2 linked regions of the Caenorhabditis elegans genome follow. The protein of the gene in region 1 purifies or fractionates together with the protein of each later gene. This does not show direct contact. Each region holds a gene or a part of one and is shown in the gene's direction. Other genes may lie near its edges. The genes, in order: lin-1 and let-418.

Region 1 (5,048 bases):
TATGGCTGCAATACTATTTTTCGATGGTCTTCCCGCTTGCAATACTAATAGGGAGTGCAAGACTATTAGGGAGTGCAATACTAATTTTCAGAACATTTTTCTGACTTTGAGCTTACTAGTTTTTTTCTGAAAAAGCTCGAATCTTATGTAAAAATTCAGAAAATTTGCTTTTAATTGTAACATATATAATAAGTTCAAAAACTTCAATCTCGTAGAAATGTTGTGAAAAACTGTTGCAAAATAGGCAAATTTTTTTGTTGAAATCCTGAAGTTAACAAGACGGGCCTGCAATAAAAAAGAGTAAACGCAAGGCTATTAGGGAGTGCAAGACTAATAGGGAGTGCCATACTAATTTTCGGAAGGTCTCCGAGGGGCAATACTAATAGGGAGTGCAAGTCTAATAGGGAGGCCATATTAATAGAAGATATACGGTATGTGAAAAACAATTTTTTAGTTGGCAATTTTCTGATAAAACCAATGTCAATCAAGATGTCAACTGATAAAGTTGCATAGGCTGCCAAAGTGGGTTCATTTGAGGTTCAATTGATGCACCATGTCGTTCCTTCTTGGACAGCCTATATCTCTATTTATTTTAATGCTAGTAATTTTAAAATGAGAAAATTATAGAAAAATATTTGAAAAATGTTTTGTTAGTTGTCAATTTCAAATAAAATCAAAAGACAACCAAGATATGAGCTGTCAAAGTTATGCAGTTAAATCCTCCTCACTTTAGAAGCTCTAATTTCAGTTGATTTTAAAAATATCAAAATATAGTAAACTAGAAAACTATAAAAAAATATGTGACAAACATTTTGTCAGTTGACAATTTTCTGATAAAACCAATGACAACCGAAATATAAACTGGTAAAGTTGAAGTTTTTTTTCGATGCACCATGTTCGTTTAATATGATGATTTTCTAATTTTCCAAAATAGTTATATATTGGCAAGTGGAAAAAAATTTGGTTTGTTTTAAATTGATTAATAATGTTAATTGCATAATTGTACAATATTTTGTCAGTTGACAAAAACAACCAAGTTTTCAAAGTTAAGTCTCGAGCAAGTTTCGGTTTCCTACGTTGTTTGGCGGGTTTTCAAAGAGTTTTTTGGGCAATTTCAGACAATTTTGAGCTATTTTGAAGTAAGAAGACATACAAAAACATTGCAGGTATTATAAAATAATTATCAAATAGCTAAAAAAAAATTCTTCATTACACTTAAACAACTTTTGAGCAGACCAACTTTTGTGATTTCCAATATATGATTTTACTTTTAAAAAAAATCTAAGACTAAACCATTTCCCTCAACTTTTAAATTATTCTAACATTAAACCTCTCCTCTTCCGTTTAAAATCGTATTAGCCAAGGGAATTAGGCCTTTGAAACTAAAACTTTTCCCTTGTGTCTTGTGTCACAACGCATTAAAATTTGAAGATATTAATAATTGTCCCACTTTCCACATACTTCATTCTTTTTTTATGAATTGTACAGTAGGCCTTTATGCCTGCCTGGTGCCTAGAGTAGGCATAAGGTAGGCATGAGATCGTAAAGTGACAGCAAGTTTTGCTCATATCTTAAAATTATCGTGTTTTTATAATGTAGATTCAATTCAACAATAAGTGAGCAAAAAGTGTTGTAAATTTCCGCATTTTACAGCCCCCCTCCCGTCCCTTGTTATCTATAGAGTCACTGAAAATAGTAGCCAGCTCGTCACTCATTGCCACGTCATCTTTCATCAGCCGCCGCCACCCCGTACCATTTTCCAGGTCAAAAGAAAGCGCCGACACTCTACAGTTTACACGAAAATGAATCACATTGACCTTTTGAAGGTTTGTCCACTGACTTCATGACTCCTAAATAGTATTCTTTTGCAGGTCAAAAAAGAGCCGCCGTCGAGTTCGGAAGAAGCCGAGGAAGAAGAATCTCCGAAACATACGATTGAGGGAATTTTGGATATAAGAAGTTAGTTTATTTTTTATAGTATTTGGAGCAAAACACACTTGCTACTAAAAGCAAATGTGCTCAATGAAGTTTGGCTCAAAATTGCTGATAGTGATTTTTATTTTGAATGAAAAATTTCACATTTTTCGGCAATTTGCTTATTGTGATTTGAACAGTCGAAATGTGAAATGAAAAATTAGGGGACATGGTGCATTGATTGGGCAACTTTGGCAGTTTATATTTCGGTTAATGTTTAAGATACGAAAAAATATGTAACTACAAAGTTATAGAACAACATATGAAATTTGTTTTGTTAGTTAAAAGTTTTTTGATAGAACCAAAGATAGCCAAGGAAAGTGGTGACAAAGTTATGCACCATGTTTGAACCTCTACACTTTAGGAGCACATATTTCGGTTCATTTTTAAAATATCAACATATAGTAAAATACAAAACTATAGAAAAATATGTGAAAAACAATTTTTTAGTTGACAATTTTCTGATAAAACCAATGTCAATCAAGATATCAACTGATAAAGTTGCATAAGCTGCCAAAGTGGGTTCATTTGAGGTTAATTTGTTGGACAGCCTATATCTCTATTTATTTTAATGCTAGTAATTTTAAAATGAAAAAATTATAGCAAAATATTTGAAAAATGTTTTGTTAGTTGACAATTTCAAATAAAATCAAAAGACAACCAAGATATGAGCTGATGCACCATGTTAAATCCTCCTCACTTTAGAAGCTCTAATTTCAGTTGATTTTAAAAATATCAAAATATAGTAAACTAGAAAACTTTAAAAAAATATGTGACAAACATTTTGTCAGTTGACAATTTTCTGATAAAACCAATGACAACCGAGTCAATGACAATGACAATGACAATGACAACTGGTAAAGTTGAAAGGATGTTCGAACAATATGATACTTTTCTACTATAGTGGCAAGTGGAGCTATTGGCACATTCTCAAAATATTTTACTAACTAGTCTAGTAGAACAAGTTTCAAACCAATTTGTTCTTCCTGCCAGACGGCTGAATAAACCGTAACGACCATGCTCTTCCACCTGTCGGTTGATGCTCAACTACTGATTCCTCTCCCTGCCACTTTTTTCTCTTTTTTTCTGAATTTAGTTTTGGTTTTTGCGGGTAAAATCCGATAAGAATTGATGAATGTGTGTCGCTTTGGGTAGAGCAGCTAATCCGTATTTGGTTTTAATGATGATTTGATGATTTAGTATGGTGTTTCTTTTTTCTCAAGTTTTTGAGTAGAATTTTCAAGAAATTTGTGAGAAAAATGACTTAAATTTTGCCAAAACATAGGGTATTTTTTAAAACTTTGAGCAGAATTTTCAAAAAAAATAACACGATAAAATTCAATTCTAAAATAATTGTCAAGACGAAATTTTCGGTATAAATCCAACTCCCTCTATACATATTTCCGCCTCACAGTACCGCAGGTCCCCCATTTTTGTTTGATTTCTACCGCATTTTCACACCCAATCACTTTTGTATATATATACATACGACATATGGTGTCAATTAATAAGTCGGAGGGGAGGGTGTGTGTTTGATACGTTTATATATTTAGATACTTCTTGTTGAAGAGTCAAGTTAAATCAAACCACATGACAATGTTTAGAGCTTTAAAGGTTCATAACTGGAACTATTGTTTTTATATCCATTTGCAAAACGTTACATTAAACACATGGCTGGAATAAAATACAACCTTTTGTCTTTACTATGCCACAGAGTCTGTAATAGTGTCCTCCAATAATTTAATGCATTTTTACGTGCTTTGCAATTTTTCTGAAAGTATCTTCAAATGGGTGAAAATCACTCATTTTGATATTCTTCTATACCTTTGAATTTTCTTGATATATATGCTTTACTGTTACCCCTAAAACCATCCCAACTAGCATCTGTTCTTCACTATTTACGGGTCTCTTGTCTTCCTTATCTGTTGTTATTGTTGTTGTGCTCTTTCGGAGCAGCTGAAGTTGCGGATTAAAGTCATCTGCGACCAAAATTGACGGATCGGAATATATGGCCGACAAAGAAGAGGTGCTTGAATGGGGTGAAGTGGGGGTCCTAAAAAGATCAGTCATCCGGAATGTTTTTAGGGTAGTATCATATGAAAAACCCCTCTACTCAATTCATATTAAATATTTTGTCAGCCCCTGAAACCTCTTTATCCAACAAGAAAACCGTACTAATGATAGGTTATATCGGAAAGATGTGGAAGGGTGGAACATAAATATTATTGCGTCTTCACGGATTTTTGTGAGATCATCATTTTGGAGATAACCAGGGGGGAAGGTCATCAAAAGGTGCGACTGATAGGCATCTGGTAGTGCATGATTCAGTTTTAGTAGTGTATTTGCTTTTTTTTGAGGACATGAGAAAAATTTAGGAAATTTTTGAACCCACCTTGAGAATTTTGGAATAACTGCTGTAGCCTCTCCTAGGGCTTCCACCAGGGGTGTGCGGCAAATCTCAAAATTTGCCGAGCTCGGTAAATTCGGCAAATCTCTTTTTTCAATATTTGCCGAGCACGGCAAATTCGGCAAATTCGGCAAATTCGGCAAATTCGGCAAATTCGCCGTGCTTAACAAACTCGGAAAAATTTGATATTTTTTTTATGTTTTTTGGAGCACCAAAACTACTGAATTCTTAACACACATCTGGTTTCTGAATAAGTTCCGCGTAGTATGTCTGTTTAAGCATCAAAATAGCTCAATTTTGTATCATTTTACTAAATTTTTGGCTAAAAAATCAATAGTTTTAGTCAAAATTGTACTGTCAAATTTTTGACGTGTGCGGCAAATTCGGCAAATTCGGCAAATCTACTTTTTTGAAATTTGCCGTGCTCGGCAAATTCGGCAAATTCGGCAAATTTGCCGCACACCCCTGGCTTCCACGTAGGCGATAAAACGCCTGCCTGCCTGACTTTAAGGCAACCTCTGCCTGCCTCTCGTGAACTTCTTTCATTCTTATTTTGATTTTTAACAGATTGATAAAAATGATAAAATTTGAAGTTTGAAGTTTCAGGCAGGCATCAGGCCCTGAAACCGTCCCTTAACATTTTTAAAATTTTCAAAAAGATACAGCC
Region 2 (7,828 bases), on another chromosome or scaffold:
CTCTATTTCAAATGCCTTGTGCAATACGCATTCTCAAAATTCTGTGTTCCCGTAATATCACTGTTTTCGAACATTATTTTCCAAATTACACTTTTACAATTTTGTAGAAAATCTAGCAGTTTGAGAAATTTTTTCAGAAGTTAAGATATAATTTCTAGAAGCTTATAATAGGGCGAATCTAAAGCGTTATACTGTTAATTCGAAATATTAAATGTTATTCAATCATTTAAAATTGCCACGTTTTCAGAAGGTCAAGGTAAATTTGTTTATCCTTGATTTAAACATTATGAACATTTTATTTCTTTTAAATTATTTTTAACTCGCATAAACACGTGTTTTGAACTTCTAGATCTTTTTCTTCACTGCCGTGCATCGATTTGAATCATTTTCCGCTTTTGCGCTTTCAAGGGAGGTCCATTTATGCGAATGGGTCTCGCCGCGCTAAGTGCATTGATTTTAAAATGTTGTGTGTGCGTCTTAACGTTTACTGTCCCGTTCTTTTTTTTTTAGCTTTTTCCCTGTTTTCTAAGGTTTTCCTAGTTTCTGAAAAGAATTTGTATATCTTTGTATAAGAATTTGTATATACATGCTGATTCAATTAAAAATTAGTAAAGTTCCGAAGAAGAAACCTATTTTCGGGAGCTATGCAGGTGCGCTCCATTGCCAGCAGATGCGTTTTGTTCAAATGTTTTCTTTTTCATTTTTTTTTGGCTCGCTTTTTGGATTCGCGTTTCCTCTCAATTTCCGCAATTTGATATTTCTAAGTATACAAGTATATTTCTAAAATCGTCATAAATATTTGCTCGTAATTTTCCCAATTTTAATTCAAAATTTTAATTCTATCAGGACGGTTCACAGTTTTTACCTGATTTGAATCCTGAAATAGATCTAATTTACTAGTTTTTTTTTTAATCCGTAATCCAACGTGTTTTTAATTTTCTGTGAACAACATAATTCTCAACTCAAATTAGTAAAGGGACATGCCACGTATTAATAATTTTCGTTGCGGGAAACACGACGCTGCATTTGGTCACTCTTACGCGCGAAGACGGGTCATTCGAATTTCCATCACTCTCCTCTCGTCTCTCTTTCTCTGACCACCGTCCCAACGAGCTGTGTCCCCGTTCTGCAATGTCCCCGCAGTGTCTCGTCAAATGGGACATATGGGGACATGAAATTGTCCCGTTTCGAATCAATATTTGTTTGAAATATGTTTTTGAATACGGCTATTTTTTCTAACTTTTCTTGTAATAATTGCATTTTCTCGATGGTAGATTTTAGAAAACTTGAAACGTAGGTTGTAAAATAAATTTTAAAAAATTTAAAATAGCTTGACGAGCTTAAATTTAAATTCCTACTTTAGGAATTTAATATTTTCAAAATTTTCTACGTTTTTTAGAAAAAATTAAGGCTTAATCTATCAGCCCAAAATTTACACTCAACTCTGTGTGTTATTTCGTCGCCGTGTTTGCAGACTTTTCACACTTTCAAATTTTGCTGATTTGCATTCGAGCTTTCTAATTTGTTCTCTTTATAATGTCCTTCTTGCAATTATTTATGTCTTACTTATATTAATCAATTTTCAGAAATTGTATTTCTCCTGAGAATTCAACAATGTCAACTGAAGAAGATCCGTCTTTAGTGGACGCGGAAGAATCAATGGAAGAGGGTTCTGTCACTCAAGACGCAACTGAAGAAACAGAAGAAGAGGAAGAACAAGAGCAAGGCGATGAGGCTGGACCATCTGAGCGAAAGCGTTCTTCTAGAAAGAAAGGCGGAAAGGGAGGCAAAAAAGGATCCAAAAAGAGTGCTGCCGCAGCTAGCAAGGTTGAGATTCCTGATCCGTATAATTCGACAAGTGAAGAAGTTTGTGCTGCTATCGGATTGACAGACGTCGAATTTGATTATGATGAAGAGGAGTTTCAAGGAATTTCTAATCTGAAGGTGATTATTCAAAATTTATTTTTTAAATCTCGATTTCTGTTTTCCTCCAATTAAACATCTTTTTTACAGACTTTCTCCTCAATCATCAAGCCACAAATACTGGAGGCAAACCCCGGAACCAACGTATCCAAGATGTACCCGATGTTCCAAGTCAAATATAAAGAGTATCAAGATCACATGGCTGCCCAAGGAAAACCTGTTCAAAAACAAGCTAGAGGTTCAAAGACTCCAGCAGTTTCCACACCCGTCATCCCTCCACGATCAGCTCCAACGAAGACTCGTTCTGCAAGGAGAAAGCGTCGAGATTCCGATGCTCCTGATAGTGATCAAGAGTTTGAGGCATTTATTAAGCAACAAGAACAACTGGAGGACGATTTGGTAAAAGACAAGGAAGATGCTCGTATCAAACGTGCAGCGGAAAGAGAAGAGAAGAAAAAAGGAGCATTGGAAGCTGCTCGTGCCGCTAAAAAAGCAAAATTAGAAAAGGGCGAAGAAGCTGAAAATAATGACTACTGTGAGGAGTGCAAGCAAGATGGAGAACTTCTTCTTTGTGACACCTGTCCCCGCGCTTACCATACAGTCTGTATTGATGAAAATATGGAAGAACCACCAGAGGGTGATTGGAGTTGTGCTCATTGTATCGAACATGGCCCAGAAGTAGTTAAAGAAGAACCGGCGAAGCAAAACGATGAATTCTGCAAGATCTGCAAAGAAACTGAGAATCTTCTGCTTTGTGATAGTTGTGTATGCTCATTCCACGCATATTGTATTGATCCTCCACTTACCGAAGTTCCGAAAGAAGAAACATGGTCGTGCCCACGGTGCGAGACGGTTAAGCCGGAACACAAAATCGAAAAAATCCTTTGCTGGAGATGGAAGGAAATCCCGTATCCAGAACCTCTCGAAGCTGGGAAAGAGGCTTCGAGTGACGATGCGATGCTCAAACCACCACGGAAAATGGAACCAAGACGTGAGCGTGAATTCTTCGTGAAATGGAAGTATTTATCATACTGGCAGTGTTCTTGGGTCTCCGAAATGCTGTTGGAAGTTCATTTCCGTATGGTGAGTTTTAAGTGATGAAGTCCATTTGACTAATGTTTATTTTTCCAGCTTATATTGCTATATTGGCGCAAAAATGATTCCGATGCTCCTCCAGAATTTGAAGAATCCGTTACGTCTCGTCATCATTCTGATAATGATCCTTATAAATTGCGCGAGCGGTTCTACCAGTATGGTATCAAACCGGAATGGATGCAAATTCATCGTATTATCAATCATCAATCATATGCAAAGTCGCAGCAGGATTACCTTGTTAAGTGGAAGGAGCTCAGCTATGATCAAGCCACTTGGGAACGAGATGATTCTAATATTGCCAATTACGAAGAAGCAATCATTAAATACTGGCAACATCGTGAGAGCAAATTAAATGAGGATATTCCTAAAAATGTGCAGAAGATGATTGCTAAACATCGCGAAGCTAAAGGTCTTCCTCCAAAAGAAGACGAAAAGAAAAAGAAGAAGCGTGAGAAGATTGACATCCGTAAAAAATATGAAGTTCAGCCCGACTACGTTACGGAAACCGGAGGAAAACTTCATCCATATCAACTGGAAGGACTTAACTGGCTTCGTCATTGTTGGTCCAACGGAACTGATGCGATTCTCGCTGATGAAATGGGTCTTGGGAAGACTGTTCAATCGCTTACTTTCTTATACAGTCTCATGAAGGAAGGCCATTGCAAAGGACCATTTTTGATTGCCGCTCCTCTATCAACTATTATCAATTGGGAGCGTGAGGCTGAACAATGGTGTCCTGATTTCTATGTGGTCACTTATGTTGGTCTTAGAGATGCTCGTGTTGTGCTCCGAGAACATGAGTTTTCTTTCGTTGAAGGTGCCGTTCGATCCGGACCGAAGGCTTCAAAAATGAAGACGACAGAGAATATGAAGTTCCACGTGTTGCTCACTTCTTATGAGACTATCAATATGGATAAAACTATACTTTCTTCCATTGAATGGGGAGCTCTTGTTGTTGATGAGGCTCATCGGTTAAAGAATAATCAGTCGTTGTTCTTCAAAAATCTCAATGAATATACTATTCATTATCGCGTACTTCTCACCGGAACTCCACTTCAAAACAATTTAGAAGAGCTCTTCCATCTCCTCAATTTCTTGTCCAAAGAACGTTTCAAGTAAGTTTCTGAATTTTTGTGTATTTTATTTTATTAATTGCATTTTTTCAGTCAGCTCGAGGCTTTCACTGCCGAATTCAATGAGATTTCCAAAGAGGATCAAATTGAAAAACTTCATAACTTGCTCGGACCTCACATGCTTCGCCGTCTCAAAGCTGATGTGTTGACTGGCATGCCATCGAAATCAGAATTAATTGTTCGAGTTGAACTGAGTGCTATGCAGAAAAAATGGTATAAAAATATTCTGACTCGCAATTTTGATGCATTGAATGTGAAGAATGGAGGAACTCAAATGTCATTGATGAACGTCCTTATGGAATTGAAGAAATGTTGTAATCATCCATATCTTTTTGTGAAGGCAGAGTTGGAGGCTCCGAAAGAGAAAAACGGAATGTATGAAGGAACGGCGCTCATCAAGAATTCCGGAAAGTTTGTTCTTCTTCAAAAAATGTTGAGAAAGCTGAAGGATGGTGGCCACCGAGTGCTTATCTTCTCACAAATGACAAGGATGCTGGACATAATGGAAGATTTATGTGAATATGAAGGATACAGATATGAAAGAATAGATGGAAGTATCATGGGACAAATGAGACAAGATGCTATCGATCGTTACAATGCTCCTGGAGCTCAACAATTTATTTTCTTGCTCTCCACTCGAGCTGGAGGTCTTGGTATCAATCTGGCAACTGCTGATACGGTTATCATATATGATTCTGATTGGAATCCTCACAATGATATTCAAGCTTTCTCTCGTGCACATCGTCTCGGACAGAAGCATAAAGTTATGATTTATCGTTTTGTAACAAAGAAATCTGTCGAAGAAAAAATCACTTCAGTTGCCAAGAAGAAGATGCTTTTGAATCACTTGGTTGTACGTGCAGGATTGGGAGGAAAAGAAGGAAAGACAATGAGCAAGACTGAGCTGGACGATGTGCTTCGATGGGGAACCGAAGAGTTATTCAGTGAGGATCTTGATGCTGCCGAAGGCGAAGGCTCGGAGAAGAAAGGTGCTGCCGCACAAGAAATTGTTTGGGATGATGCAGCTGTAGATGCTCTTCTCGATCGCAGTAACAAAGAAGAGACTCCAGCAGGAGAAGATGGCGAAGAAAAAGCTGAATGGCAAAACGAATATCTAAGCTCGTTCAAGGTGGCCAGCTATCAGACAAAAGAGACTGAAGGACAAGAAGAAGAGGAGGAAGAGGAAACGGAAGTGATTAAAGAAGATGAGAAAGAACCAGATCCAGATTATTGGGAGAAGCTGCTCAAGCATCACTACGAACAGGACAGGGAAATCGAATTGCAAAAGCTTGGAAAGGGAAAACGTGTTCGCAAACAAATCAACTATGCCAGTGAGAATATGGGAACTGATTGGAGCAAGCAGGTTTGTTTTTTTTCTGATTAATTGGGTTTTTCTGATTAATTTCTGATTAAACATTTAATGATTTTTTTCAGAACCAAACCCAAGATGATGACGATGATAACGAGTCGTACCGTGGTTCGGACAATGGCGACGGCCTGAACTCTGATGAAGATGATTACGATGAGAAGAAAAAGCGGCGTCGTGATGAAGAAAAAATGCCTCCACTCATGGCTAAAGTCAATGGACAAGTTGAGATTCTTGGTTTCAATCCACGTCAACGCAAGGCGTTCTACGGGGCTGTTATGCGCTGGGGAATGCCTCCACAAGATTCTCATCAATCTCAATGGCTTGTTCGAGATCTGAGAAACAAATCGGAAAAAGTCTTCCGAGCTTATGCTTCACTGTTCATGCGACATCTCTGTGAGCCTGGAGCTGATGGTCATGATACCTTTAATGATGGAGTTCCAAGAGAAGGTCTTAATCGTCAGCATGTTCTTGGCCGAATCGGATTGCTGAGTTTAGTTCGGCGGAAGGTTCAAGAATTTGAGCAATATAATGGCCAATGGTCTATGCCTGAAATACAAGACGAAGTTCTCGCTAAAGCTGCCAATGGTTCGGCACAAGGATCTTCAAGAAGTACTCCGAAACCAAAAGAAGAGCCGAAGGAAGAACCAATGGAAAAGGAAGATGCTACTGAAACAGTTAACGGAGCTACATCAGAGCCAGCTACAGATGCTGAGAGTGAACAAAACGCTCCTGTTGACGAACCAATGGATACAGATGAAGCCAAAGAACCGAAAGAAGAACCAATTGAAACCGAGAAACCAAGAGCAGCCCGTCCATCATTCAAGTTCAACATTTGTGACGGTGGATTCACTGAACTTCACTCTTTGTGGGCCAATGAAGAGAAAGTTGCAAGAAACGGAAAAGAATATGAAATCTGGTACCGCAGACACGACTATTGGCTTTTAGCTGGTGTTGTTGTACACGGATATGGACGTTTCCAAGCTAATTTCAATGACATCATCAATGATCCCAGATTCTCAGTTCTCAATGAGCCATTCAAGGAAGTTGGCGCTGAGGCAACAGGATCTGACATCAAAGCCAAGTTTATGCAACGTCGTTTCAAACTTATTGAACAGTCCCTTGTGATTGAGGAGCAACTTCGTCGCGCTGCACACGCCAATCGTCACTTGCAGCCGGATAATGTTGGACCATTGGCTCAACGTTTTGCGGATTTAGAGAATATTGCTGAATCTCAAGCTAATATCGCCAAAGAAAGTTCTGCTGGAAATCGTAATGCGAATGCCGTTCTACACAAAACATTGGTTCAGCTCGACGAAATACTTTCCGATATGAAGGCCGACGTGTCTAGACTTCCATCTACTTTTACACAGTTAGCGACTGTCACCGAACGTCTCAACATGACCGAGAGACAGTAAGTTTTAACTCGTAAAAGCTTCAGTCAATATATGTATATATATTTCAGAATTCTTTCGCGACTGACCACAAAAGACGAGGACGCGATAGCCAACCGTAGCGTACTTCCACCACCAGGACCATTTGTAACTCCAATACTTCGCCAGCAGATGGATGGCATTCAACCAAAGTTTGCAGCTCTTTACAGTAAATTCATGTCTGAAAATGGAGAAAGGATGGAAGAGGATGAACCAGTAGAGGCAGAAGAGGAAGAAGGTGTAAAACAAGAACCAGATGATGAGACTCAAGATAGCGCCGAAGCTCCGCCAGTTCTTAGTGCAGGTTAGTACTAATTCATATGGATCTTAAAATAACTCAATGTATTTCTATTTCCAGAAGTGAATTCCGACGATAGCAACGATGTTCCATCTACTTCCGCTGCTGCTGCTGTCAGTTCTGAAACAGCTGCCGACGCCGAACCAGCTTCCGCCGAAGATCAAGCTCCAACAGATGAGCCAGAACCAATGGAAACTTGAATGTCTTTTTAATTTTATTGGGTTTTACTGTATTTTTTCAAACTTTAAACCATTATATTATTTATTGTTCTCTTTTTAGTTGCATCAATTGAAATGCAATTCAAATAATTGCGTCATGAATCTGTGTAAACGTTTAATCCTGATCTTTTCGTCTTAACTTGTTCACATGAATCTAAGCAGCCTCGCCATCAACACGTTGACCGTTCTATGATAACCCAGTCATTCTCTATCTCGCCTCGCTTCCTCTTTGCCCATTCCCCTTGACGAATAGGGTAATTAATCAATTGCACCGCGCAGAAGACACAGGGTTCCGGCGTGGGCGACAGTCAAAAAAGGAAGTGTGGAATGTGTGTGAAGATATCAAATATTTGTGACGTTCT

The links.
Region 2: the proteins of lin-1 (region 1) and let-418 purify together in Caenorhabditis elegans (affinity purification with western blotting, with the first as the bait; one study listed by BioGRID). This does not show direct contact.

Annotation. Positions count from the first base shown.
Region 1 is NC_003282.8:2,297,041-2,302,088, reverse strand, and holds the start of lin-1 (ETS domain-containing protein), read left to right. Parts: upstream 1-1,802; coding exon 1,803-1,826; intron 1,827-1,871; coding exon 1,872-1,959; intron 1,960-5,048.
Region 2 is NC_003283.11:5,825,247-5,833,074, forward strand, and holds let-418 (Protein let-418), read left to right. Parts: upstream 1-1,586; 5' UTR 1,587-1,614; coding exon 1,615-1,944; intron 1,945-2,013; coding exon 2,014-3,006; intron 3,007-3,054; coding exon 3,055-4,133; intron 4,134-4,184; coding exon 4,185-5,514; intron 5,515-5,585; coding exon 5,586-6,931; intron 6,932-6,982; coding exon 6,983-7,254; intron 7,255-7,308; coding exon 7,309-7,448; 3' UTR 7,449-7,585; downstream 7,586-7,828. UniProt on the Caenorhabditis elegans protein: Part of a NuRD (Nucleosome Remodeling and Deacetylase) complex which is implicated in the synMuv B pathway that negatively regulates specification of vulval cell fate.